Macaca mulatta: one gene and its partners. The protein of the gene in region 1 binds, or shares a complex with, the protein of each later gene. Links are inferred from orthologs where the notes say so. Each region holds a gene or a part of one and is shown in the gene's direction. Other genes may lie near its edges. The genes, in order: ARID1A, DPF1, SMARCC2, DPF3, PHF10, SMARCC1 and ACTL6B.

Region 1 (3,510 bases):
ACCCATTTGTGGTGGACTGCTCAGATAAGCTTGGGCGTGTGCAGGAGTTTGACAGTGGCCTGCTGCACTGGCGGATTGGTGGGGGGGACACCACTGAGCATATCCAGACCCACTTCGAAAGCAAGACAGAGCTGCTGCCTTCCCGGCCTCATGCACCCTGCCCACCAGCCCCCCGGAAGCATGTGACAACAGCAGAGGGTACGCCAGGGACAACAGACCAGGAGGGACCCCCACCTGATGGACCTCCAGAAAAACGGATCACAGCCACTATGGATGACATGTTGTCTACTCGGTCTAGCACCTTGACCGAGGATGGAGCTAAGAGTTCAGAGGCCATCAAGGAGAGCAGCAAGTTTCCATTTGGCATTAGCCCAGCACAGAGCCACCGGAATATCAAGATCCTAGAGGACGAACCCCACAGTAAGGATGAGACCCCACTGTGTACCCTTCTGGACTGGCAGGATTCTCTTGCCAAGCGCTGTGTCTGTGTCTCCAATACCATTCGAAGCCTGTCATTTGTGCCAGGCAATGACTTTGAGATGTCCAAACACCCAGGGCTGCTGCTCATCCTGGGCAAGCTGATCCTGCTGCACCACAAGCACCCAGAACGGAAGCAGGCACCACTAACTTATGAGAAGGAGGAGGAACAGGACCAAGGGGTGAGCTGCAACAAAGTGGAGTGGTGGTGGGACTGCTTGGAGATGCTCCGGGAAAACACCTTGGTTACACTCGCCAACATCTCGGGGCAGTTGGACCTATCCCCATACCCCGAGAGCATTTGCCTGCCTGTCCTGGACGGACTCCTACACTGGGCAGTTTGCCCTTCAGCTGAAGCCCAGGACCCCTTTTCCACCCTGGGCCCCAATGCCGTCCTTTCCCCGCAGAGACTGGTCTTGGAAACCCTCAGCAAACTCAGCATCCAGGACAACAATGTGGACCTGATTCTGGCCACACCCCCCTTCAGTCGCCTGGAGAAGTTGTATAGCACTATGGTGCGCTTCCTCAGTGACCGAAAGAACCCGGTGTGCCGGGAGATGGCTGTGGTACTGCTGGCCAACCTGGCTCAGGGGGACAGCCTGGCAGCTCGTGCCATTGCAGTGCAGAAAGGCAGTATCGGCAACCTCCTGGGCTTCCTAGAGGACAGCCTTGCCGCCACGCAGTTCCAGCAGAGCCAGGCCAGCCTCCTCCACATGCAGAACCCACCCTTTGAGCCAACTAGTGTGGACATGATGCGGCGGGCTGCCCGCGCGCTGCTTGCCCTGGCCAAGGTGGACGAGAACCACTCAGAGTTTACTCTGTACGAATCACGGCTGTTGGACATCTCGGTATCACCGTTGATGAACTCATTGGTTTCACAAGTCATTTGTGATGTACTGTTTTTGATTGGCCAGTCATGACAGCCGTGGGACACCTCCCCCCCTGTGTGTGTGTGCGTGTGTGGAGAACTTAGAAACTGACTGTTGCCCTTTATTTATGCAAAACCACCTCAGAATCCAGTTTACCCTGTGCTGTCCAGCTTCTCCCTTGGGAAAAAGTCTCTCCTGTTTCTCTTTCCTCCTTCCGCCTCTCCCCGTCCACCACCTCACGCCTTTCTGTTCCTTGACCTCACCTTACTCCCCTCAGGACCCCACCCCACCCTCTTTGAAAAGACAAAGCTCTGCCTACATAGAAGACTTTTTTTATTTTAACCAAAGTTACTGTTGTTTACAGTGAGTTTGGGGAAAAAAAAATAAAATAAAAATGGCTTTCCCAGTCCTTGCATCAACGGGACGCCACATTTCATAACTGTTTTTAATGGTAAAAAAGAAAAAAGGAAAAAAATACAAAAAAAAAAATTCTGAAGGACAAAAAAGGTGACTGCTGAACTGTGTGTGGTTTATTGTTGTACATTCACAATCTTGCAGGAGCCAAGAAGTTCGCAGTTGTGAACAGACCCTGTTCACTGGAGAGGCCTGTGCAGTAGAGTGTAGACCCTTTCATGTACTGTACTGTACACCTGATACTGTAAACATACTGTAATAATAATGTCTCACATGGAAACGAGAAAACGCTGGGTCAGCAGCAAGCTGTAGTTTTTAAAAATGTTTTTAGTTAAACGTTGAGGAGAAAAAAAAAAGGCTTTTCCCCCAAAGTATCATGTGTGAACCTACAACACCCTGACCTCTTTCTCTCCTCCTTGATTGTATGAATAACCCTGAGATCACCTCTTAGAACTGGTTTTAACCTTTAGCTGCAGCGGCTGCGCTGCCACGTGTGTATATATATGACGTTGTACATTGCACATACCCTTGGATCCCCACAGTTTGGTCCTCATCCCAGCTACCCCTTTATAGTATGACGAGTTAACAAGTTGGTGACCTGCACAAAGCGAGACACAGCTATTTAATCTCTTGCCAGACATCGCCCCTCTTGGTGCGATGCTGTACAGGTCTCTGTAAAAAGTCCTTGCTGTCTCAGCAGCCAATCAACTTATAGTTTATTTTTTTCTGGGTTTTTGTTTTGTTTTGTTTTCTTTCTAATCGAGGTGTGAAAAAGTTCTAGGTTCAGTTGAAGTTCTGATGAAGAAACACAATTGAGATTTTTTCAGTGATAAAATCTGCATATTTGTATTTCAACAATGTAGCTAAAACTTGATGTAAATTCCTCCTTTTTTTCCTTTTTTGGCTTAATGAATATCATTTATTCAGTATGAAATCTTTATACTATATGTTCCACGTGTTAAGAATAAATGTACATTAAATCTTGGTAAGACTTTTGTGAAGCTTTTTATTTTCAAACTAAAACTTGACCTTTGTCGGGGGGTAGGAGGTAGTCCTGTTTTTGCAAACCTCCCTTAGTGTGAGATCTCCCCTAAATAGTGGCATCTGTCCAAAATAAGACAACCATTTATCTGGAGGCAACCTCCAACTTAATCACTTGTAATATCTCTGGACTGGCTCTTTTCCCTGACTCCAGACTAGAGCATTCAGCCATCTTCTTGTCATCCCTGCTTGGAAGTTTACTTTGAACATGCCAAAGCTAAAATGTCCTGTCTTCCCCCACTAGAAACCTGCTTCTACCATAGTTTTGGTTTTTTGTGTTTTCCTTTCAGTAAATGGCAACTCCATTCTATCACGTGCCAAAAAAATCCTTGACTTCTTTCACTTCCACATCCAATCTGTTAGCACTCTACAAAGTAATCCTCAATCCCGCACTACTACTGTAGTTCAAGACACTGTTATATCTTGGATTCTTGAAATACCTCCAAATTGGCCTCCCTGCTTCTGCTTTGCCTGGTTGAACCTATTCTCAACAGAACAACCAAAAGGACCCCTATAAAAGGTAAGTCAGATAAAATGCCTTCAGTGCTTCTGGCTCTGAGTAAGTAAAAATCCAGACTCGCCGGGCGCGGTGGCTCACGCCTGTAATCCCAGCACTTTGGGAGGCCGAGGCGGGCGGATCACAAGGTCAGGAGATCGAGACCACGGTGAAACCCCGTCTCTACTAAAAATACAAAAAATTAGCCGGGCG
Region 2 (3,804 bases), on another chromosome or scaffold:
TACCCATTTTACAGATGAGGAAACTGAGGCTCATCTGTATTAAGCCATTTGCAAAGCAGAGATTATGCAGTGGGTTAGAGCTACCTTCATCCCCGTGCCGCAGAGGAAGAAGCTAAAACTTGGAGAGGTTTGAAGCCCCACAGCTAGGACATTTGCAGAGCTGCAATTTGAATTTGCAAAAGACTCTGTTTTCTCACTTTCTTTTTTCCTTTTTTTTTTCGAGACAGAGTCTTGCTCTGTCGCCAGGCTGGAGTGCAGTGGTGTGATCTCAGCTCACTGCAACCTCCGCCTCCTGGGTTCAAGCTATTCTTCTGCCTCAGCCTCCTGAGTAGCTGGGACTACAGGCATGCGCCACCACACCCAGCTAATTTTTGTATTTTTAGTAGAGATGGGGTTTCACCATGTTGGCCAAGGTGGTCTCGAGCTCTTGACCTCATGATCCGCCTGCCTTGGCCTTCCAAAGTGCTGGGATTACAGGCGTGAGCCGCCGCGCCCGGCCTGTTTTCTTACTTTCTTGGCCTCTCACTCCTGACTCTCCCTACAGGCATATGGCATCGGGGGTCTTCGGAAACGCCAGGACACCGCTTCCCTGGAGGACCGAGACAAGCCGTATGTCTGTGATAGTGAGTCCTTCTGAAGAGGGGGAAAGGCAGAGAGAGGGGGGCCCAGAGAATCCCCACCTTGTGGCCCTCTGCCTCCTGTACCAGACCCGGGTTGGGGGGATGCTCAGGTCTCTGGCCGAGGGGGGGAGGTGTGATCCTGGAGGCCAGGGTGGAGGCAGCATGGGCCTGGAGGGGCTGACAGGCCCTCCTGGCTCGCTCGCTCCCCAGTCTGTGGGAAACGGTATAAGAACCGGCCGGGGCTCAGCTACCACTACACCCACACCCACCTGGCTGAGGAGGAGGGGGAGGAGAACGCCGAACGCCACGCCCTGCCCTTCCACCGGAAAAACAACCATAAACGTGAGCTGGCAGGCCAGGTGGGGGTGGTAAGGGGCCCTGGGAGTGGGGAAGAGGAGCCCAGCTGGGGGTGGGGGTGGGGGGGCATTAGACATTTCTGGAAAATCTCCAGCTCAGCCGTTCCCTCCCCCCACCGACCATGGGGATGCTGGCTCTGGGGTTGCCATGGCAACCAACCATCGCTCCTTCGCTCCCGGCCGGGCGTAATATTTCTGGGTCTGATTTATTGTTTCAATTAGAGCTTGGGGAGGGGGGGTGTGATAGATGGCTCCCCTCCCGCCCTGCCTTCCCTTTCTCCTTTCTCGGCTAAGCTTTGGTCAAGGGGCAGGGTCTGTGACCTGGGAGCCCTTGGCGTCCGCCCGTGCCAATCCCATGCCAGTTCTGACAGCTGAGGGATGGGGGCGGGGAGGAGGGTTTGGGAGAGGCAGCATCTCTCAGAGGCAGAGGCTGAGTGTCCTCACCCCAGGCCACTACACACCTGGGCACCTCGGCGTTCAGAATTTTTCTTCTGAGTGTCTGTTTCTGTACCAGATCTTGGCTCGGGGTACTCTCTGAATTTGTTAGATACAAATTACTGAGGGTGCACTTGGAAATGGGTGGCTGGGAGACATGTATGTGAGAAGGGAAGCAGGGAGCCCTTCTTCACGCTGTCTTTACCAAGTTTTGACCCAATAAAGAGGACGGGTCAGTTGTCTCAAGGAGTTGGGAATCCTGACTGGGTGCAGTGGCTCACACTTATAATCCCACCATTTTGGGAGGCTGGGGCGGGAGGATCGCTGGAGGCCAGGAGTTGGAGTCCAGCCTGGACAACATACCAAGATGCTGCTTTTATTTTTAATTGAAAAAAAATAAATAAATAAAAAGAAGAGTTGGGAGTCCCGATGAGAACTGTTTTCGCCTCTCCCCACGGCTTAGGGTAGCTACTCACTCTTCCCATCTCCCCACACCTGGACTAAGAGGTCCATCCCTGGGGCTGAGGCTGGGGGCAGGGTGGAGCCTTGCCTGTGGTGAGAGTCCCTCTCTCTGTCCCCCTCACCCCAGAGTTTTACAAAGAATTGGCCTGGGTCCCTGAGGCACAAAGGAAACACACAGGTATGGACGCCTCCTTCTGCTCCTAACGTCTGCAGCCACCTTTGCGGGGTGCCCTTGCCTGCCCCGTGCCAATGCCTGTCCGCTGTCTTGCAGCCAAGAAGGCGCCCGACGGCACTGTCATCCCCAACGGCTACTGTGACTTCTGCCTGGGGGGCTCCAAGAAGACGGGGTGTCCCGAGGACCTCATCTCCTGTGCAGACTGTGGGCGATCAGGTGACGCTCCCCACCTGAGGTTTCTGGGGGCCGGGTGCAGAGGACATTCAGGAGTGCAGACCTGGAGGGAGGGAGGCAAGGTGGTGAGGACTGAGGGGACCCCGAGCGTGTAGGGGATACTGGGGATAACCAGAGCTAGCGAGGCTGATGCAACTGCTGAGGATGGTGGGAATTGGATCGGATCAGTGAGGCTTCAGGGATAACGGGATGTGGCTCTCATGGCACTGTGGGTAGCGGCCTGTGCTTAGCATGGCATCAAGAGTAGTGAGAGGCCGGGTGCAGTGGCTCACGTCTGTAATCCCAGCACTTTGGGAGGCAGAGGTGGGAGGATCACTTGAGGCCAGGAATTTGAGACCAGCCTGAGCAACATAGCAAGACCCCCATCTCTACAAAAAATTTAAAAATTAGCCAGGTGTGTTGTTGCGCACCTGTAATCCCAGCAACTCAGGAGGCTGAGGCTGGAGGCTCCCTTGAGCCCAGGAGTTTGAGACCAGTCTGGGCAACATAGTGAGATCCCATCTATTAAAAACAAAATTAGCTGGGCATGGTGTCGCACCCCATTAGTCCCAGCTACCCAGGAGGCTGAGGTGGGAGGCTGCTTGAGCCCAGGAGGTTTTTTTTTTGAGATGGAGTCTCCCTCTGTCACCCAGGCTGGTGTGCATTGGCACGATCTTGGCTCACTGTAACCTCCGCCTCCTGGGTTCAACTGATTCTTGCGCCTCAGCCTCCTGAGTAGCTGGGATTACAGGCACACGCCACCATGCCAGGCTAATTTTTGTATTTTTAGTAGAGACAGGGTTTCACCATGTTGGCCAGGCTGGTCTCAAACTCCTGACCTCAGGTGATCTGCCTGCCTTGGCCTCCCAAAGTGCTGGGATTAAAGGCATGAGCCACTGCACCCGGCCCCTTGAGCCCAGGAGTTTTTGACCAGTCTGGGCGACATAATGAGAGCCCATCTATTAAAAAAAAATAGGCCGGGTGCAGTGGCTCACATCTGTAATCCCAGCACTTTGGGAGGCTGAGGTGGGTGGATTACAAGGTCAAGAGATCAAGACCATCCTGGCCAACATAGTGAAACCCCGTCTCTACTAAAAATATAAAAATTATCTGGGTGTGGTGGCGCGTGCCTGTAATCCCAGCTACTCTGGAGGCTCAGGCAGGAGAATCGCTTGAACCCAGGACTCCGAGGTTTCAGCGAGCTGAGATCGCACTACCGCACTCCAGCCTGGGTGTCAGAGCAAGACTCCGTCTCAAAAAAAAAAAGCTGGGTATGGTTTCGCACCCCATTAGTCCCAGCTACTCGGGAGGCTGAGGTGGGAGGATTGCTGGAGCCCGGGAGGTCAAGGCTGCAGAGTGGGCTCTGATGGCACCACTGTGCTCCAGCCTGGGCAACAGAGTGAGACCCTGTTTCAAAAACCAAAACAAGACAAAAGGAGTAGCAAGAGATGGGGGTCAAGGTGTGGCGGGTAGTGGGCTGTGTGGTGTGAGTGACGGATGCCACCACCTGGGCACTGGTAGCAGGACGAGCTTGCCGTAGAAT
Region 3 (4,101 bases), on another chromosome or scaffold:
CAAGATGTAGATTTTGGGAACCTTCTGATTGAGAGGCAGGATCTTTCAGAAGAAGACAAAGCAGGGGTCAAGGCATTTGCCTTTGGGACCTGCTGAAAACTGGATAACAATACACAATTGGCACTGGCAGCTGGAGTATCAGAGGCAGCAGCTCCTGGCCGACAGACAAGCCTTCCACATGGAGCAGCTGAAGTATGCGGAGATGAGGGCTCGGCAGCAGCACTTCCAACAGATGCACCAACAGCAGCAGCAGCCACCGCCAGCCCTGCCCCCAGGCTCCCAGCCTATCCCCCCGACAGGGGCTGCTGGGCCACCCGCAGTCCATGGCTTGGCTGTGGCTCCAGCCTCTGTAGTCCCTGCTCCTGCTGGCAGTGGGGCCCCTCCAGGAAGCTTGGGCCCTTCTGAACAGATTGGGCAGGCAGGGTCAACTGCAGGGCCACAGCAGCAGCAACCAGCTGGAGCCCCCCAGCCTGGGGCAGTCCCACCAGGGGTTCCCCCCCCTGGACCCCATGGTAAGTGTCATGTTCCAGAACTTTTGTTGACTAGAAGAATCCAGGTGAATGTCCCAGTTCCCCTCAAAGGGAATACAAGATGAGTCTGGAGATGAGGTTAGCCTCAATTTCTATAGATGGGCCCATCTCTCTTAGGCCCCTAAACCAGCAGGAATCCTTCCCCAAACTCGAGAGCTTTGGAATTTTGTTCACTTACTCTAGTGTCAGAAAAAGGGAAGACAGAGCCAAGGAATGGCTAGATTATCCTTGTTTGTAAAAGTGAGTTATTCTTTGGGAGGCAGAGGCGGGTGGATCACGAGGTCAAGAGATCAAGACCATCCTGGCCAACATGGTAAAACCCCATCTCTACTAAAAATACAAAAATTAGCTGGGTATGGTGGCGGGCGCATGTAGTACCAGCTACTCTGGAGGCTGAGGCAGGAGATTGCTTAAACCTGGGAGGTGGAGGTTGTAGTGAGCCAAGATCGTGCCACTGCACTCCAGCCTGGCGACAGAGTGAAACTCCGTCTAAAAGAAAAATAAAAAAGAAAAGAGTTGTTAAGCAACATTTTATACCTAACTTTCTCCATCTCTCATCTTTATTCTTAGGCCCCTCACCGTTCCCCAACCAACAAACTCCTCCCTCAATGATGCCAGGGGCAGTGCCAGGCAGCGGGCACCCAGGCGTGGCGGGTAATGCTCCTTTGGGTTTGCCTTTTGGCATGCCGCCTCCTCCTCCTCCTCCTGCTCCATCCATCATCCCATTTGGTAGTCTAGCTGACTCCATCAGTATTAACCTCCCCCCTCCTCCTAACCTGCATGGGCATCACCACCATCTCCCGTTCGCCCCGGGCACTCTCCCCCCACCTAACCTGCCTGTGTCCATGGCGAACCCTCTACATCCTAACCTGCCGGCGACCACCACCATGCCATCTTCCTTGCCTCTCGGGCCGGGGCTCGGATCCGCCGCAGCCCAAAGCCCTGCCATTGTGGCAGCTGTTCAGGGCAACCTCCTGCCCAGTGCCAGCCCACTGCCAGGTGAGAAGGGGCCAAGAGGGGAGAAGGGTGAGGGAGAGGGGTCCACATGGAGGGAGGGTGAGCGGGCAGGTGGGGGAAGAGGTCAGGTACTAGACTTTCCACAGTCTTTTTTGAACACTCTGGTAAAATTAGAATACAGGAGGAAAGGCCTCTCTGGCTGTCCTCCACCAGTCCCCAGCCTGGCAGCTGCCACCTTTGGGATGGTATTGGGGCCTTTCACTGGTGGGTCATGGAGCAATCCTGTGGCAGAGAGCATCAGTTGTAAACTTGAAAAGCAGCTGTTTGCATGATGATTGTCATCCCTTTGCTTATTCCTATCACGTTCAGATGCCCTATTTAGAGAGTCTCCTTTCTATCAGTTTTTCTCAGTATGAGGTAGAAGAGGGTGTTGGGAACAGAAGTTGAACATTGTGGGTACCTCATTCATCCACCCAACCACTGCATGCCATGCCCGGTTCTGTCTGTATTGGTCTGGGTCTGGAGCCCTCTCTCCTGCGCAATCTAACTGATTCATCTTACTTTTCTCCACAGACCCAGGCACCCCCCTGCCTCCAGACCCCACAGCCCCGAGCCCAGGCACGGTCACCCCTGTGCCACCTCCACAGTGAGGAGCCAGCCAGACATCTCTCCCCCTCACCCCCTCTGGAGATCACGGTTCCAGGAACAGCCCTTCCCCCACCACTGGGACCCTCCCCAGCCTGGAGAGTTCATCACTACGTAAGGAAAGCTCCTTCCGCCCCTCCAAAGCCCTCACCATGCCTAACAGAGGCATGCATTTTTATATCAGATTATTCAAGGACTTCTGTTTAAAAGATGTTTCTAATGTCTGGGAGAGAGGATAGGATGGGAATGCTGCCCTAAAGGAAGGGCTGGTGAAAGGTGTTTATACAAGGTTCTATTAACCACTTCTAAGGGTACACCTCCCTCCAAACTACTGCATTTTCTATGGATTAAAAAAAAAAAAAAAGTAGATTTTAAAAAGCCACATTGGAGCTCCCTTCTACCCACTAAAAAATAACCAATTTTTACATTTTTTGAGGGGGAGTGAGTTTTAGGAAAGGGGAATTAAAATTCCAGGGAGAGCTCTGGGGATAGAACAGGGTGCAGATTCTGTCTCTCCCCAAGCCCCTTTTTAGTGACTGAGTCAAGGCCCCAGCTCCCCTAGCCCACCCTACACTGAGCTTATTCGAGTTTATTCGTACTAATGATCCCTCCTGCGGCTTCCTCATTGTTGCTGTTTTAGGCCACCCCAGCTCAGCCAATGATTCCTTTCCCTCTGAATGTCAGTTTTGTTTTTAAAAGTCACCTGCTTAGTTGATGTCAGCGTATGTGTATTTGGTGGGGAAAACCTAATTTCGGGGATTTCTGTGGTAGGTAATAGAAGAAAGGGCAGTGGGGGCTGTTCTCCTTCCTTCCCTGGGCTGTATCCATGGACTCCTGGAAGGCGCAGAGAAGGGAGCTGTAAGAGGATGCGAAGTTTTAAAACCTGAAATTGTTTTTTAAAGCACTTAAGCACCTCCTTATTATGACTTGGTGGGTCACCCCTTAGCCTCCTCCCTCTCCCACCAAGACTGTGAGAACTTCAGCTGATAGCTGGGGGCTCCCCAGATGAGGATGCAGGGATTTGGGAGCAGTGGAAGAGGGTGCCCAACCTTGGGCTGGACCAACCCTTGGCTCGGAGCTCAACTCTGCTTCCTGCATTCCTGCTCCACGTCCCAGCTCCTCCCCTGTGACTGGAAGGCAGGTGTGCCTCCAGGCTCTGCACTGGTTCTTCTTGGTTCCTTCCACCAGGCCCTTTGTTCCTCATGTCCCCGTGTTTCTCTCCCTCTGCGTCTTAGCACCTTTCTTCTGTTCAAAGTTTTCTGTAAATTTTCTTTTTTTTTTTTTTTTTTTTTTTTTTTTATAAATTAATTTGCTTTCAGTTCCATCTTGTGGGTGCATTCTGTGTTCTTCTTACCTGTGGCTGTCAGGCAGGGGGACTGGGATTGGAGCAGCTTTCCTGGAGTCCTTCACAGCGGCGTTTACCCGGGCCGCAGAGACATTATGCAAGCCACAGGGCCTAGACACTGCGCCTCCCCACAAAACACGAACAGCAGCACAGATGTCAAGACTGTGTGCTGGTATAGGAGCAGAGGCTCTCACCTGCCCTAAAAGCTGTTTAAGACTTGGAAGGACATTCCCACAATAATGGAATTTTGTATCTTTATCCCTTCAGAAGTAGTGGTTTCACTCCTTCCCTTATTAGGGAGGAGGCAAGTCCCTTACCTCCTTTTGTTGTTATTGGCCCTTCGCCCTGCTGAGGTGATGGACAGGCTTAGGCAGTGCTAATAATGGCCTGGTTTTAGCTCCAGTAAACACTCCACAGGCTTCCCCACAAAAGGCCTTACTGGGAGCTTGGGAGGGCGGGGGCCAGATTTAAGGAGCTGGAAGGCTAGGAGAAGACAGCCTGATACGGAATGGAACAGGGATGGCCAGCCTTGGTCCTACCAGGATCTTAGGTAGGACCAATCTAGTAGGAGATTTCCTAATCTCCCAAGAGGTAGCTTGTGTAAGATGGATGAATGGGGCCAGC
Region 4 (3,804 bases), on another chromosome or scaffold:
GTTCCCTATCAATGGAGTTGTCCAGAACAGGCCTTCTAGAGTTGGTGGGAATAAAACACTTCTCTAGATAGATCGAATGACCATTAAGATCCTGAAATTGTGTGATTAAGCAACAGTGATGATTGACATAACAAAATGGCACAAGTGAAATGCTGTGAGTTTATACTGGGGATCTGCAGAGGCGGCTGAGGCCTCTTTGTGTAAATACTGATATCATTATCATTACTTTTAGTAAACATTTATTCCTTACTAACAGTATGCTTGGCGACTAAATGGATTTATATGCAATGACCCCATAATTTGCTGTGTATTAACTTCAGATTATCCAAAAAGCTAAATAGAAAAAGCCACGAGCAGATCCACAGTGCACCTCAGGGGCCTCTTTGGGTCCGGCTTCCTGAGTCACATGGAATTGAGATGCATAGTACTCTTTTATTTTATTTTAATTTTGTTTTTTTACAATATTTATGAGAGAGTGGAAGAGAGAATATATGAATGTAAGTAGCCAATGATAGGCCTATTTATTTTAATTTTTTATTTTTTTAGATTCAGGTTTGTTACATGCATATATTACATAATGCTAAGGTTTGGGCTTCTATTAAACCTGTCACCCAAATTCTGAACATAGTACCCAACCGGTAGTTTTTCCAGCCTTGTCCCCTTCCTTCCCTTCCCTTCCCTCTTTTGGAGCCCCCAGTGTCTGTCATTTCCATCTTCATGTCTGTGTGTACCCAGTGTTTAGTATATTCCATGGAATATTACACAGCCATAAAAAAGAACAAAATCATGTCCTTTGCAATATGGATGCAGCTGGAGACCATTATCCTAAGTGAATTAATGCAGAAATAGAAAATCAAATACCGTATGTTCTCACTTATAAGTGGGAGCTAAACATTGGGCCTTGAATTTATAGTCACTAGGTCACCAACTTGAATTTCAGACTCTCCTCTTGTCTTATCAAGGAAGTCCAACCAATTGCCAGACTTTATAATATGAGGCAAGGGTCAAAGTCCCTCTTTTCAGGAAGGTCCAGTACTTAAGATGCAGCAAAAAATGCTGACAGCCCTTGCCCCTCATTTACCATTTACTGAGCATCTATTATGCTGGGTATTGAGAGAACTGCTTTACAAATGCTATTTATAATCCCTTTACCCATCCTTCAAGGTAAGTACTGTTATCCTCATTTTCAGATAAAAGAAAAGGCACAGAGCTACAGCTTGTCCAAATCATGCAGCAAAACTCAATTCATTTTTAGAAATCAACATGACCATAAAATTGAAACCTAATAAAAGATAGTCCCAAAATTATAGATCGAGCTCAAGTCTTAGCACAGATTCAAGATGCAATATTAGAAAACAGAATGCAGCAGTATATCAAATAAACAATATACTCTGACCAAATGGAGTGCATTCTAGGAATTCAAGAATGGTTCAATAATAAGAAATATTAGGAAATCAACGTAATTTACCTTATCAACAAACTAAAGGAGAGTCATATTATAGTAGATGCTGAAAGGGTAGTTGCTAGAATTCTCCTATAATAAAACTCTATAACAGGAATAAGAGGAACTACTTAAATGTGGTAAAGACTAAAAATTAGCCAGATACATCATTCTAAACAGTGAAACACTAGATCTGCCTTCGTTAACATTGGAAATGCTTGCTTTTGCCATTTAAAAATATTGTTTTGGTGGTTCTTACAAATGATCTAAGCTATGATCAAACAGTTTCTGTAAATATGGGGAAGAAGAGATGACATTATCTTGGCCAATGTTTGTCTACTGAAAAACTCCAAGAGAATCTGGTAGGAAGAGAAACTCTATCAGAAGTAATAAGTAATATCGGAAGTAACTCTATCAGAAGTAATAATTATCAGAATAATATCATTGGAGAAGATGACTGGATAACAGCATTTCTCTATACTCTCAGGACCACACAGCCAGTGAACCTCAGCAGCTGGAACTGGGATTTGAACCCAGGCCTGCTGCTGAAGTTGTGCTCTTCCCACCTTGTGAAGCATTTATGCTTCCTTGTATGACTCGGTCATGTCAGCCCAAGGGAGAAGTCTTTTAGAATTTGTAACTTTCAAGCACTCCAGCAGAGCAGTTTGGTTGGCTGTGATGGGGACCCAGGCTGGGGGGCAAGCATAGAAGGTTGGCATGGACGTTTCACTGGGAAGACTCTTCGAGGTTTCTGCTACCAGCAATGCCGTCCCCCTGGGGGCTGAGATAATCAACTGTACGTGGGGAGGCTGAGGGTGGTAGTGTGACCTTGAGCCATTTAGCCAGATTTCTGCTTCCCAGGAACTGAGCATCTAACCAACAGAACTGCTGCCCTTTCTTCTTGGCTCCAAGAAGGCACATTTTGATTGCTCGCTGCCCTTGGCTCAAATTGCCCCATTTGAGAGGTAGTACTTGTGAGAGCACATTTTACAGATTTGGCTGCCCTAGGGCATCAGGAGCACCAGCTCTTGGTGACTACACTCACTAAGGATGCTTTAACTCCATGGCGTTCATGGTGGAAGTGGAGCATGTGTTTCTGGCACAAAATCACTGGGTGAGACATCAGAAGTATTATCCAGATAAAACTTTTCTATTTCTTGCAGAGGCCAACCATGGGGTGGTGGAAGGGACAGTGCACAGGAACCCAGGAGACATGGATTCTGGTGGCTCTGCCACACTAGCTGTGTGTTCCTGGGCAAGTCACTTGGCGTTGCTGGGTCTCACTTGCCTCATCTGTGTCATGGGATGTTGGATTGGGTAGATTCCCAGTGTCCTTTGAATTCAACGTTATAACAATTACCCTTACAACATGCCTGACACTGTTTTAAGTACTTTGCATAGAGATAAACTTATCACAATAACCCTGTGAGGTAAGTACTGTTAGTATTCCCATTTTATCTCTGAAGAAACTGAGGCACAGGGAGGTCAAGTGACTTGCCCTGGGTCTCACAGCTAGAAACAGTGGAGTGCTCACGCAGCTCTTAACCTCGTTTTACTTTTACAGTTTTTCTTTCCATGAGCTGAGTTGTTATAAGGGTGTTGGTTCTGTTGGGTGGGGGAAAGGGGTGTTAGGATGGGAGACAGTTTTAAGGGAAGCCTGGCTCTGGGGTGGATGGATGGGGTCACTGTCTGGGAGAATGATAGCAGTGGCTGCACAGGTTGCTAATATTTGCCTTTCTCCCTTTTTTCCTCTTTTCCTCTCTAGTCTGTGGCAAGCGCTACAAGAACCGACCGGGGCTCAGCTACCACTATGCTCACACCCACCTGGCCAGCGAGGAGGGGGATGAAGCTCAAGACCAGGAGACTCGGTCCCCACCCAACCACAGAAATGAGAACCACAGGCGTGAGTGCCTACTTGTTAGGTTGGGGCAGTGAAGAAGTGGGTTAGGCAGGCTGGGGAGCGTTCCTTGTTCCTTTTTCTCACTGCTGCGCTAGCATCTTCTGGTAGCAAACTTTGAGTGGTCTCAATGTGCTGTAGTGCATTGGCCCTTTCAGCCAGCCAGTCAGCTGCCCCTGCAGCTCAGCCCAACAATAGCAGGGCTGGGCTCACACACCCTGCTCTGCTCCCAGAGGAAGGAAGGTGTTAAGCAGAAGAGAAAGTCCTTACCTGGCCACTGTCAGATGCCAGACCTACAACTCTTTTCCCTCAGCTCCTCAAGAGCCACTCAGACTGGGTTGGGCATAGGTCATGGGTGTATCAGTTCAGACAGACATTCGAAATGCCTGCTTGGCCACTAAGAGCCTTAGAGTATTCTTATCTATTGGTGTGGTTTTGTTGTAGAGAGGGGGGGATCACATTTTGG
Region 5 (3,804 bases), on another chromosome or scaffold:
TGCTGATGAAATCTGGATGCCTCTGTCTCTGCCTATTTTGTTTGGGTTTGTCAGAGACAGATGCTGGGAGTTCTATAGCACCTCACTGCTCAGGGTATGTTCTGTGGTCCAGAGCACTATTATTGCTCAGAAGCTTGTTGGAAATGCAGAATCTCAGGCCCAATTCTAGACCTGTGACTCAAAGTCTGCATTTTAACAGATGTCTGTATAATTCACGTGCAGGTTAGAGTTTGAGAAACACTGACTTTTACTGCAGAGAAGATGAGAGAAGGAGCAGAGGGGCAGGCACGGGCACCTAGGTGCCTCAGCCACATTGCTGACCTGGCCTGGCTGCTGCTCCAATCTGGCCCCTAAATGCTACTTATCTCCTATTCCCAAACTGAATGTAACTGAAAAAAAACAGGGCTAACAGATTTTTTTTTTTTGAGACAGAGTCTCACTCTGTTGCCAGGCTGGAGTGCAGTAGCGCGATCTTGGCTCACTGCAACCTCTGCCTCTTGTGTTCAAGCGATTCTCCTGCCTCAGCCCCCCGAATAGCTCGGACTACAGGCACATGCCACCACGCCCAGCTAATTATTTGTATTTTTGGTAGAGGTGGAGTTTCACCATGTTGGCCAGGATGGTCTCGATCTCTTGACTTTGTGATCCGCCTACCTCGGCCTCCCAAAGTACTGGGATTAAAGGCCTGAGCCACTGCACCCAGCCCATTTTGTTTTAAAGTCTCAGCTTTTACTTCAACCTTAAGCCTTACTCTGGAACCGTATGTTTTTCATAATAGACTATTTTTTTAGAGAATAGAATTTAAAGTATAGTATCATAACTCACACCATTTGAAAGTCACATCTTGGGCAGAAATTTTTTAAATTAAAAAGGTTTTTTAATTCAAATTTAAATCATGGGCAGCAGTTTTTTTAAAAGTTTTTCTTCAATTTTTTTTTTTTTTTTGAGATGGAGTCTCATGCTGTCACCCAGGCTGGAGTTCAGTGGCACGATCTCGGCTCACTGCAACCTCCACCTCCCGGGTTCAAGTGATTCTCCTGCTTCAACCGCCCAAGTAGCTGGGATTACAGGTGCTTACCACCTCGCCCGGCTAATTTTTTGTATTTTTAGTAGAGACAGATTTTCACTCTGTTGGCCAGCTGGTCTCGAACTCCTGACCTCTGGTGATCTGCCCACCTTGACCTCCCGCAGTGCTGGGATTACAGGCGTGAGCCACTGCACTCGGCCTTAAATTTTTAAAAATTTTACTCTGGTGTCAGCAAATTATTAAAAGTCATATGCAAGTATACCAACTCCTTTGCTTTTTGGTGTGTTGTCTTAGTTGGAGAAGTCCTGATCCAGGGTCGCTTCCTGAATGAGGACTACTGAGGGTGAGAATGGAGGTGGCACAAAGCATTGCTGTCTGACCTAGGGGAAGAGATTGCCAATCTAGTTTCAGAAAAAATAGTTGATTAGATTTTTTAGAATACATGCTTCCCAAATTTGTTTACAATAATTTGTTACTAAAAATTTTGCTTTCTATATTAATATTAAGTAATATCATGTACCATGCACTGGTGTATGAGGTAGATGCTATTATTAGGCCTGTTTTACAAGTGGAGTGATAGCACAGAGAAGTAGCAAAGACCTGGAACAGTGGTGGACGTGGATGTGAGCTGGCAGTCAGACTTGGGGCTACTGACATTTTATTTACTGTTTTGTTTTTTTGGGTTGAGGGCAAAGAGGAGAGGCGCATTATCTCTTAGAATCAAATGCATATTTTACATAAGTCTAGTGAAAAGATGTTCAGGCTTTTTATTAACCCTACTTGATGACAAAAATTAAAAATTAATACTCTATTTTTCGGAAGTCTTTGGAGTTACTCAAGAAGTTTAAGGCTCTCTTCATAGGTCAACGATGAGTCTATTTATATTTAATAATAAAGGGAAACCAAAAATAAACGCTCTGAACTTCAGGTACTCACCAGATGAGCTGCGGTATCTGCCATTAAACACAGCCCTATATGAGCCCCCTCTGGATCCTGAGCTCCCTGCTCTAGACAGTGACGGTGATTCAGATGATGGCGAAGATGGTCGAGGTGACGAGAAACGGAAAAATAAAGGCACTTCGGTGAGAACATTTCTCTCTAGTGGGAAGCGTTTCCTTTCTCTTTGAATTTTTGCTAATTGCTTTCCTGGAATGTTACATTGAACTTCTGTCATCACCCTCTCTTTGAAAAAGGATGGTTGCATGTAATTTCCAGAAGGTATTCATCAAGAAAAGTTATTTATAGTATGTTTTGATAAAAAACAAGCCGTGTGTGGCCTTTGGTAAGATTTATACTTAAAATCGCCCCTTTGTAGTTACCATGAGCGATTTAGGCAAGGATATTGGAAAATTAGCTTACAGTCATTTATTCAACTTGTTGTCTCTTTAGCTTAAAATATTGAACAAAACAGAATTTGATCTCTTGACACAGAAATGTAGTTTTCTTAGTTTAGGGGAGTGCATTAACTTAGGTTTCTTTTGCTTAATCTTAGGCTTCCTATAGGAAAATATTGTGTTTAGTAATATGTTGTGCAATTTGTTGGGTTTTCCTGTATGACTCTTTTTTTGTAGCAAAATGCGCTTGCAAAACAATGGGCAGCTGGTGAATTCTGTGGATCTGAAGGAGAACAGAATCCCCTTGATGGTTTAGGGCTTTGATCACAGTGATGACATAGGGCTTTGAATTTCTTTAGCATTGTGTTTTAAGTAACTGGCTATTTCAGACTTTTCATTGAAGCCAATCTAAATGTGAGGTTGTGCTACCATTGAATGGACATTATTTCCTTGTCCCCAGCAGCTTCTAAAACATCTTTAATAATACATATTATGCAAAATAAGATGCTGTTCAAGTATTAAAGTGGTGATACAACTTTTCTCCTGTTATGTTGCTAAAAGGGGAGCTATGGCATGCAAAGGGGGATGAAGCTGACTTCCTTTCATACTGCTAGGAAAAGTGGAAACTAATCCAACATTATGGGAAAGCGTTTTGACAGTCTTACCAATTTAAGTTCCACAGAATTTGACCTCGCAAATCCACTAGTAGAATTTATCCTAAGGATTTAATCAGATGCTGAAAAAAATTTAATTAGAATAAAAAGGTCTGTTTGAGTGTTTACAGTATTTTTTATCCTGGAAGTTACAAATAAATTTTAATGCCCACAGTGGGTAATATTATATTACATTTATAGGATAGAAATGCAGTTCAAAGAATATTTAATGATTGTGAGAACATGCACATAATGCTTTTAAAAAAATACCAAAACACACACATGCATACACACGCAGTGTAATCCAGTTTTGTGTTTTAAAAAATGAGGGCACAATGAGGTTAGGGGGTATGTGTGAGTCTCGGTATCTTTATGTATATAAGTGGACACCCAGAAAAAAGATGAAGTGGATATATTAATGTTTCTAGTCAGTGTGTGTTTATCAGGGAGGCTCTAGATAATCTAATTTTTTCATTTATAATTTTCATAATTTATATGAAAGTTCTAATTAGAAAATTTAAAATTATAAAATGAAGAATTAAATCATTAGATATTGAGGTCTTAAACCTTGAATATATGCAATCTTTCACATCCTGTTGTAGATAGTTGAGGGATTGGCTCTGCATGGTTTAACATTATGAAAACACAAATGTGTACTCGAAGGAATTTTTTTTTTTTTTTTTTTTTAACTGCAGCACTTCATTTTTCCTGAAGGACCTTCTTAATGACTTTTAGTACTCAGTGAAAATACCCACACTTATTTGTAACAATATATTTTTGTGTGAAACAA
Region 6 (3,804 bases), on another chromosome or scaffold:
GCAGTGGCATGATCTTGGCTGCCTGAGTTTTGTTTTTCTTGTGTGCCAAGAACTGTTGCTAGGTCTCAAAGTCCTTAACACTCTTGTTATTAAGTACTGTATTTTGTGACAGAAGTCATTGGAATCTGCTGTAACAGAATCTCAGTCTCTCTCTCCATTTTCGTATGTTCTTTTCTGGATTTGGTCTCATGGATTCTACTTGTTGCCCAGCCATGATCTCCCTTAAAGAACTGCCACGAGAAGTTACATAGCTATTTTCAGAGCCAAATCCACGTGCCACATTTGAAATACAGAAGTGATAGGCAACAGAGGTTGAGAGCATAGATTGAAGAGCCACCACACTGGGTGCGATGAATTCTGGCTCCATCAATTACCAACCCTGTGGCTAGGACAAATTCTCTAACAACTCAGTGTTTGTTTCCTCACCCATAGATGGGATGATAGCAGACCCTACCTGCAATATGGAGCGATTATGAGGATTCAGTTGTCAGACATACATTGCTTATAACAGTGCCCTGCACACAGTAAAGTATAGATATGTGGTAGTGAGGCAGATAGCCTATGTAACCATGTGTTAGTTTCAAATTCTGCAGTTAACTACCACCATGACCAAGTTTGAATTTATGTTACTTCACATGAATGTCGTTACATTACTTGTTATTATACATTAGTAAACAGTTGTTTTGCATATTTGTGGTTCTAAATTCACTCATAACTTAATATGCAATATAATATCACCGTTTTTTTATGCTCTTGTCTTAATTTATTGTATTTCTAAGGAATCTGAAGATTTTTGAGTTTCTGAGTAACATTGTTTCTGAAAGGATACGTGTCCACCTTATGAATTTTGCCATTGCTTTTTAGATACTTGGCATATCGAAATTTTATGATTGACACGTATCGCCTAAACCCCCAAGAGTATTTAACTAGCACTGCTTGTCGGAGGAACTTGACTGGAGATGTGTGTGCTGTGATGAGGTAAAATGTTTGACTTTTTCTGAGACATTTAACTGTAGGAATTTACTTATGCTTTGCTGTCATATTAAACTGGTTGTTTCAACTGGGTAAAACACCTAATTTTAGTTGTGTCATTTAGGGGTGGATTATATTTTGTTTCCTTTCATTTCATTCAATTTATTTTATTTTTATTTTATTTTATTAATTTAATTTTATTGTCGAGATGGGATTTCATAATGTTGCCAAGGCTGGTCTCAATCTCCTGGCCTCAAGCAATTCTCCTGCCTCGGTCTCCTGAAGTATTGTGATTGCAGGCGTGAGCACTGTGTTCAGCATTAGAGGTTGAAAATTTAAAATATTTAATTTAGGCTGGGTGCAGTGGCTTACGCCTATATTCCCAGCACTTGGAGAAGCCAAGGTGGGCGGATCACCTGAGGTCAGGAGTTCGAGCCTGGCCAATATGGTGAAACCCCTTCTCTACTAAAAATATAAAAATTAGCCGAGCGTGGTGGCACATGACTGTAATCTTAGCTATTGGGGAGGCTGAGGCAGGAGAATTCAGGAGGCAGAGATTGCAGTGAGCTGAGATTGTCCCACTGCATTCCAGCCTGGGCGACAGAGCGAGATTGTGTCTCAAAAAAATAAAATAAGTAAGATAAATATTTAATTTAGTTTTCTAGATTTTACAGTTCACATTTTAATTTTTTTAGTCAAATCATAAAATAACCAGGGAAGGAGTAGATTCAGGTTGGGAGTGGATAAACTCTGCGCCCTAGCTCTGCCAAAAAAAAAACAAAAAAAAAACCCGCCAGGTACAGTGGCTCACACCTGTAATCCCAGCACTTTGGGAGGCCGAGGTGGGTGGATCACCAGAGGTCAGGAGTTCGAGACCAGCCTGGCCAACATGGTGAAAGCCTGTTTCTACTAAAAATACCAAACATTAGCTGGGCATGGTGACGGGCACCTGTACTCTCAGCTACTTGGGAGGCTGAGGCAGGAGAATCGCTTGAACCGAGGAGGCTGAGTAGGTTGCAGTGAGCTGAGATTGCACCATTGCACTCCAGCCTGAGAGACAGAGCGAGACTCTGTCAAGAAAAATGTGGATTTTTTCTATGTGTGTATTTGGTCTGTGTGTGGGTTCTTTTATTACCATGGACCTAAATGCGTATTTGTGCTCTCATTTCTGTGATTTAAATGATTAAACTTTGTAATAGGTTTGGGGGGTGCTGTGTTATCAACATTATTTGTGGCTTGTAGAAATTGTTCCCTACATAACAAACAAAATCTGTCAAGTAATTTGTGGTGTTTGATAGCCTGCTGAGCACATTTACTTGTTTTATTGTTTCTGTTTTTTAATGGTGTAATGATGATAATAAAGCACATGAAATTGATTCTTTAGATTTTAACTTTCCGAGCTTTATTCTTTAGGGTCCATGCCTTTTTAGAGCAGTGGGGACTCGTTAATTACCAAGTTGACCCGGAAAGTAGACCTATGGCAATGGGACCTCCTCCTACTCCTCATTTTAATGTATTAGCTGATACTCCCTCTGGGCTTGTGCCTCTGCATCTTCGATCACCTCAGGTAAATTAATGTTGACTTTTCATCAGACCTGAATAGTAACAAATGTCTGTTTATAGCATATCTATTTAGGAATGCTGTTGTTAGTGCTGTTTCTTTGATGCTTGTTTGTATGTGTGTTTTGGTGTACTGTAAATATTACAGTCCAAAAGAATATATAGTGTTTAAGTTAATGCTGTCCCACCAATCCCAAAACCCAATGCCTTAGTCTATCAAATTATTAATTTACTTTTATATGCATAACTCCCTTTATCCTTCTGTCATCAAAAAGACACACATAAGTAAGCAGATGATGCAAAATCTTCTTTCCCTTCCTTCAGTCTGTGTTCTAGAAACGTGAAGCAAAGAAATCTTTATAACTTGTCCTAAGATTTGTAAAGTGGACATCCATATATACATTATCAAACAGATTATGTCAGACAAATTCTGTATAGCATTAAGTTGGATTCACAGGAACCTAAGGTATAAATTTTGTTCCATTGTGAAATAGAATATAGTAATGAAAATTTGTTATCCTTTCTGGACTTAAGGGACACCAAAATGTAACTTGTATGTTGAATTTTTGTTAGAAGTATAGTGTAGAAGTGTGGGTATTTATTGTTTTTCGTAGGAAATCCACCAAGAGTGGCTTAAGTTCCAATATTAACCTTTTTTTTTTTTTTTTTTTTTTTTTTTTTTGGAGACAGAGTCTGTCTCTGCTCCCCAGGCTGGAGTGTAGTGGCATGATCTTGGCTCACTGCAATTTCCGCCTCCGGGTTATAAGCAATTCTACTGCCTCAGTCTCCTGAGTAGCTGGGATTATAGTCACATGCCACAACGCCCAGCTAATTTTTGTATTTTTAGTAGAGATGGGGTTTCACCATTTTGGTCAGGCTGGTCTTGAGCTCCTAACCTTGTGATCCGCCCGCCTCGGCCTCCCGAAGTGCTGGGATTACAGGCATGAGCCACCGCGCCCGGCCTAAACAAATTTTAAAAAACGTTTACCCTCTTGACTTTAAAGAGGCTAACTCAGCCGTTTATCATTTATTTGACTCAGGTTCCTGCTGCTCAACAGATGCTAAATTTTCCTGAGAAAAACAAGGAAAAACCAATTGATTTGCAGAACTTTGGTCTACGTACTGATATTTACTCCAAGAAAACATTAGCAAAGGTAAGGATTTTTTTTCTAATCACATGTAGGCTACAATCCAGCACATCTTAGTCCTTCTAAGATACATCTGATGAGCTTTCTACTCAAATCTGATGGTATTTTTAAAAACAATTATGAT
Region 7 (4,570 bases), on another chromosome or scaffold:
TCTGTCCTTTGGCCGGGGAGGGGTGGAGTCTCTTCCAGGGTGGGCATGTGGTGAGCAGAGAACATTCAGGGGCATGCGGACCTCACATAGTATCCTCTTCCTGTGCTATCTCTGGTCTCAAAGCTCCCTCGCCCCCAGACAAGTAGATGGGCACACACTCAACACACACAAGCATTCATATGTGCATATGTACACACATGCACCCATACGCCAACACACATAGACACATACATACAGACACATGCACCCTCACATAAGAGTCCCTCAGCTACCCCAAGTTGTCAGAGCTGCTCCTTTGCCTTTGCTACCAAAACTGTGGTGCCAGGAGCCCAGAAGAACCTGGGATCCAAGCAGTAGAAAACCCTGTTGTTAGTCCGGTGCTGCGGCTGACACCTGTAATCCCAATGACTCAGGAAGCCAAGGTGGGAGGATCGCTTGAGGTCAGGAGTTAGAGACCAGACTGGGCAACATAGTGAGGGCCCTTCTCTAAAACAAGCAAACAAACAAAAAAAACCAGGTGTGGTGGTGTGCACCTGTAAGTCCCAGCTACTCAGAAGGCTGAGGCGAGAGGATCACTTGAACCCAGGAGTTCAAAGTTACGGTGACCTGTGAGCGTGCCACTGCACTCTAACCTGGGTGACGGAAGACCCCAATTCAAAAAGAAAAGAAACAAAAACCCTCTTGTTGATAAATGCCTCCTTAGGAAAATAGGCGCTGAAGAGACAGAGAGATGGAGAAAAGAAGCTAAAGCCAGGTGGGCTGTGTGTGAACGTATGTATATGTGTGTAAGCATGTGTACACATGTATAACGCCCAGGTACTGGGGTGGTGGGGGTAGGGGTGGAGCAAGGCAAGGAAAAGAGGGGCCAGCGAAAGACAAAGGAGGGAAGTTGGACACGGTGGCTCATGCTTTTAATCCCAGCACTTTGGGACATTGAGGCCAGGAGTTCAAGACCAGCCAGTCTCTAAAAAAAAAAACAACAAACAAAGAAAAAAACAGAGAGAGATGGAGACACACCCCCACCCCCTCTGGTCCCTCTCTTAATCTTCCCTTCCCTCCCTCTCCCGGCAATTCCATTTAGGCCTGGGTGTGGCAGAACCGGGCTCAGAGCAGCCTGAAGACAGATGACCCTTCTGGGGAGTGGAGCTCTCTCCCCAGTCTTGCTTTAAAAAGTAAGGGGGTAGAGGTCGGGCATAGCACTTTGAGAGGCTGAGGTGGGAGGATCGCTTGAGGCCAGGAGTTCAAGATCAACCTGAGCAAGACCCTGTCTCCATAAAAAAAATTTTTTTAATTTGCCAGGTGTGCTGGCACCTGCCTGTAATCCCTGCTATTAGGCTGAGGAGGATCGCTTGAGCTCTGGAGTTCGAGACCAGCCTGGGCAACGTAACAAGACCTCCGTTTCCACCAAAAAATTTAATAAAAACAAAAAGCAAGGGGGTAGGGACCTCATCAGTCGTCCTGCAGAGTCTTGGTCTCCACCTCTGCCCTGCTCTCCTCTCTGCCGCCCGTTCCTTAGCGACGGTCTCTAAGTCCCTGCTAGGCGCCCCCTGCCCCATCTCCTCCTGGTCGCCTAACGGAGGGTATCTTCCCCTTTAAATCCGCGGCCCCCGGTCCGGTCATTGTCTCGCCTGGCAGCCAATCGGCGGCGCCGTTGGGGGCGGGGGATCCGGCCTCCCAATTGGTCGCCGTGCGCCCCGCCCCGCCAGGGATCCCGGGAGCTGTCCGGCCGCCTCGGTGCTGATCCCGCCACCGCCCACGGGCCGCTAGCAGCGCAGAGGGCACTATGAGCGGGGGCGTCTACGGCGGAGGTGAGCGAGCCTCCGGCCCCCTGCGTTCCGAACCCGCGCCATCCATCCGAGCTCTGGGCACCCCGGGGCCTGTCACCTCCGCGCATGAACGGGTCCAGTCTCAGGCTCGGGTTCCCGCCTCCCCTGCGCTCCGTTCTCGTGCGCACCGGGCCGAACCTCTCTACCTTACAACCCACCTCCACCTGGCCCCGGCCCCTTCCTTTCCCGTCAGGAGGGTGGCCTGAGCAAGGCCAGTGGGCAAGAAGGGACCCTGGCGGTATGATGCCCCCACCCCCAGTCCCAGGACCTCAGACTCCAGGCCCAGTTCCCACCGGCTCCAGACTGGTGTTGAAGGTGGCGAGTCTGTGGCTCTGCCCTGACTTTCTCTCGGAACTACCTAGCGGGAAAAACTTCGGGGGAGGTCCCCTTACAGGCCTGTCTCCCCTCACAGATGAGGTGGGGGCGCTGGTCTTTGACATTGGCTCCTTCTCAGTCCGCGCTGGGTACGCTGGGGAGGACTGTCCCAAGGTGAGCCTTCCAGTCTCCTCTCTAAATCCTAGGGGCTCCGGACCCTTCTTCAGGCTTTCCAGTGACCCAGGGCTCTCCCAGATCGCCCAGAAGCTCTGCTGAGCGGGAATGTGGGAATAAACCCAGGGGCGGGCTGAGGACCCTGCCGTGGGGCTGGACAGGGGCAAGAGGGTGACCCCTCTCCTGCCGATCCTCCCCCAACCCTTCCCCACCAGGCTGACTTCCCCACCACGGTGGGGCTGCTGGCCGCGGAGGAGGGGGGCGGGCTGGAGCTGGAGGGGGACAAAGAGAAGAAAGGGAAGATCTTCCACATCGACACCAATGCCCTGCACGTGCCTCGGGATGGAGCGGAGGTCATGTCGCCCCTCAAGAATGGCATGAGTAAGGGGCCCCCACCCATCACCTCCTGACAGATAGGGAGCCCACTCCCCACGATCTGGGACATAGCAGCCCCCACTCCCCAAGGAGTCTTCCTTGCAGCCCCAGGGTTCTTCTCGCTGCCAGGGTTCTTCTCGCTGGGTTCCCTTCCCAGGGGCCCAGCAGGTTTCTGGGAAGAGGGGACGTTCCCCTGGGCCTGGACTCACTGACCCTCCTTTGGGCTTGGCCTTTCTCCCTCCTTTTCTTCCTGTCCCTGACCCCTGCCTGCCCTCTTGCCTTTCTCCACTCTGCTCTTCTGGCCCCAGTCGAGGACTGGGAGTGCTTCCGAGCCATCCTGGATCATACCTACAGCAAACACGTCAAGTCTGAGCCAAACTTGCACCCCGTGCTCATGTCCGAGGCCCCGGTGAGTGCCTCCTGCCTTCCCATGTCCAACCCCGATCTCCACTGCACCTGCTTCCCACCATCCACCTCTCCTCCTCTCCCCTCAAGCCACCGATGTCAGCCACTTCCCTTCCCTTTTCAGACTCCCCTCACCCATCCCAACCACTTTCCTTCCTTCCTAAGTCTCCATCCCTCCTGCTCTCTTCTTGTTCTATCTACTCTGCTGCCCTTCTCCATCTCCAAGTCCTTTTTTAATTTTTTTTTTTTTTTACACAGAGTCTCACTCTGTCACCCAGGCTGGAGTGCAATGGTGAGATCTCAGCCTCTGCCTCCCGAGTTCAAGGGATTCTCCTGCCTCAGCCTCCCGAGTAGCTAGGATTACAGGCACCTGCCATCATGCCTGGCTAACTTTTTGTATTTTTAGTAGAAATGGGGTTTTGCCATGTTGGCCAGGCTGGTCTCGAACTCCTGACCTCAGGTGATCCACCCGCCTTGGTCTCCCAAAGTGTTGGGATTACAGGCATGAGCCACCATGCCCAGCCTCCAAGTACTTTTTAGACCTTTTAACTTATTATTATTTTGGTCAACATTGGTGAGCTGGGGATGTGGGCTCACACCTGTAATCCCAGCACTTTGGGAAGCCAAGGCGAGAGGATCACTTGAGCCCAGGAGTTCGAGACCACCCTGGGCAATATGGCAAGACCCATCTCTTTTATCAAAACAATAACAATTAAAAAAATTTTTTAACTGCATTTTAAAAAATGTTCTTACCCATATCCTTATAGATTCCTCTTTATAGAAGCAACTGTTTTTCTCCTTTTTAGCTAATTTTGGGGGTATTTTCTTCCATATCTCTAATATTACACTTAAATTGCTGCCTGTGGAGTTTTTAGTTTTAGATATTATCAATGAATTTTCCACTCTAGAAAATGATCACTTAGCTCTTTTTTCCTCCCCAGCCTATGCCACAACATATTTCTATTACCCTCCTTTAAGTACAGTGGGTTTTGTTGTTGTTGTTTTTGTTGTTGTTGTTGTTTGTTATTTGTTTTTGAGATTTTGTCTCAAAAACAGGGGCTCCGCTCAGTTTATCACCCAAGTTGGATTGCAGTGGCACAGTTCTGCAGCCTTGGTCTCCTGGGCTCAAGTGATCCTCTCATTTCAGCCTCCGGAGTAGCTGGAACTACAGGCATGAGCCACCACGCCCAGCTGATTTTTAAATTTTTTGTAGAGACAGGGTTTCACCATGTTTTCCAGGCTGGTCTTGAATTCCTGGGCTCAAGCGATCCGCCCGGGTCGTCCACCCAAAATGCTGGGATTACAGGTGGGATCCACTGCACCCAGCCCAGTTGTATTTTAGACTTTGAAAGAAATCAATATTCAGTATTTACACTCTTTTTAAGTTAGAAATAATTTTAAGAGAATCTTTTGTAGAGATGGGGTCTCATTATATTGCCCAGGCTGGCTTCAAACTCCTGTGCTTAAGCGATCCT

Evidence for each region.
Region 2: ARID1A (region 1) and DPF1 share a complex: the UniProt entries of both Homo sapiens proteins name them as parts of the neuron-specific chromatin remodeling complex. The link is inferred for Macaca mulatta from reciprocal best matches to the Homo sapiens genes ARID1A and DPF1.
Region 3: ARID1A (region 1) and SMARCC2 share a complex: the UniProt entries of both Homo sapiens proteins name them as parts of the neuron-specific chromatin remodeling complex. The link is inferred for Macaca mulatta from reciprocal best matches to the Homo sapiens genes ARID1A and SMARCC2.
Region 4: ARID1A (region 1) and DPF3 share a complex: the UniProt entries of both Homo sapiens proteins name them as parts of the neuron-specific chromatin remodeling complex. The link is inferred for Macaca mulatta from reciprocal best matches to the Homo sapiens genes ARID1A and DPF3.
Region 5: ARID1A (region 1) and PHF10 share a complex: the UniProt entries of both Homo sapiens proteins name them as parts of the neural progenitors-specific chromatin remodeling complex. The link is inferred for Macaca mulatta from reciprocal best matches to the Homo sapiens genes ARID1A and PHF10.
Region 6: ARID1A (region 1) and SMARCC1 share a complex: the UniProt entries of both Homo sapiens proteins name them as parts of the neuron-specific chromatin remodeling complex. The link is inferred for Macaca mulatta from reciprocal best matches to the Homo sapiens genes ARID1A and SMARCC1.
Region 7: ARID1A (region 1) and ACTL6B share a complex: the UniProt entries of both Homo sapiens proteins name them as parts of the neuron-specific chromatin remodeling complex. The link is inferred for Macaca mulatta from reciprocal best matches to the Homo sapiens genes ARID1A and ACTL6B.

The regions. Positions count from the first base shown.
Region 1 is NC_133406.1:214,202,920-214,206,429, reverse strand, and holds the end of ARID1A (AT-rich interactive domain-containing protein 1A), read left to right. Parts: coding exon 1-1,397; 3' UTR 1,398-2,749; downstream 2,750-3,510. UniProt on the Homo sapiens protein: Involved in transcriptional activation and repression of select genes by chromatin remodeling (alteration of DNA-nucleosome topology).
Region 2 is NC_133424.1:49,289,680-49,293,483, reverse strand, and holds part of DPF1 (zinc finger protein neuro-d4), read left to right. Parts: intron 1-544; coding exon 545-623; intron 624-830; coding exon 831-962; intron 963-2,000; coding exon 2,001-2,051; intron 2,052-2,144; coding exon 2,145-2,264; exon of another isoform or gene 2,265-2,585; intron 2,586-3,237; exon of another isoform or gene 3,238-3,804. UniProt on the Homo sapiens protein: May have an important role in developing neurons by participating in regulation of cell survival, possibly as a neurospecific transcription factor. Belongs to the neuron-specific chromatin remodeling complex (nBAF complex).
Region 3 is NC_133416.1:63,314,369-63,318,469, reverse strand, and holds the end of SMARCC2 (SWI/SNF complex subunit SMARCC2), read left to right. Parts: intron 1-130; coding exon 131-512; intron 513-1,100; coding exon 1,101-1,529; intron 1,530-2,060; coding exon 2,061-2,137; 3' UTR 2,138-3,456; downstream 3,457-4,101. UniProt on the Homo sapiens protein: Involved in transcriptional activation and repression of select genes by chromatin remodeling (alteration of DNA-nucleosome topology).
Region 4 is NC_133412.1:145,837,343-145,841,146, reverse strand, and holds part of DPF3 (zinc finger protein DPF3), read left to right. Parts: intron 1-3,206; coding exon 3,207-3,344; intron 3,345-3,804. UniProt on the Homo sapiens protein: Belongs to the neuron-specific chromatin remodeling complex (nBAF complex).
Region 5 is NC_133409.1:2,316,584-2,320,387, forward strand, and holds part of PHF10 (PHD finger protein 10), read left to right. Parts: intron 1-1,955; coding exon 1,956-2,109; intron 2,110-3,804. UniProt on the Homo sapiens protein: Involved in transcription activity regulation by chromatin remodeling. Belongs to the neural progenitors-specific chromatin remodeling complex (npBAF complex) and is required for the proliferation of neural progenitors.
Region 6 is NC_133407.1:111,045,009-111,048,812, reverse strand, and holds part of SMARCC1 (SWI/SNF complex subunit SMARCC1), read left to right. Parts: intron 1-864; coding exon 865-978; intron 979-2,385; coding exon 2,386-2,539; intron 2,540-3,572; coding exon 3,573-3,686; intron 3,687-3,804. UniProt on the Homo sapiens protein: Involved in transcriptional activation and repression of select genes by chromatin remodeling (alteration of DNA-nucleosome topology).
Region 7 is NC_133408.1:47,859,328-47,863,897, reverse strand, and holds the start of ACTL6B (actin-like protein 6B), read left to right. Parts: upstream 1-1,761; 5' UTR 1,762-1,783; coding exon 1,784-1,808; intron 1,809-2,238; coding exon 2,239-2,315; intron 2,316-2,530; coding exon 2,531-2,696; intron 2,697-2,998; coding exon 2,999-3,099; intron 3,100-4,570. UniProt on the Homo sapiens protein: Involved in transcriptional activation and repression of select genes by chromatin remodeling (alteration of DNA-nucleosome topology).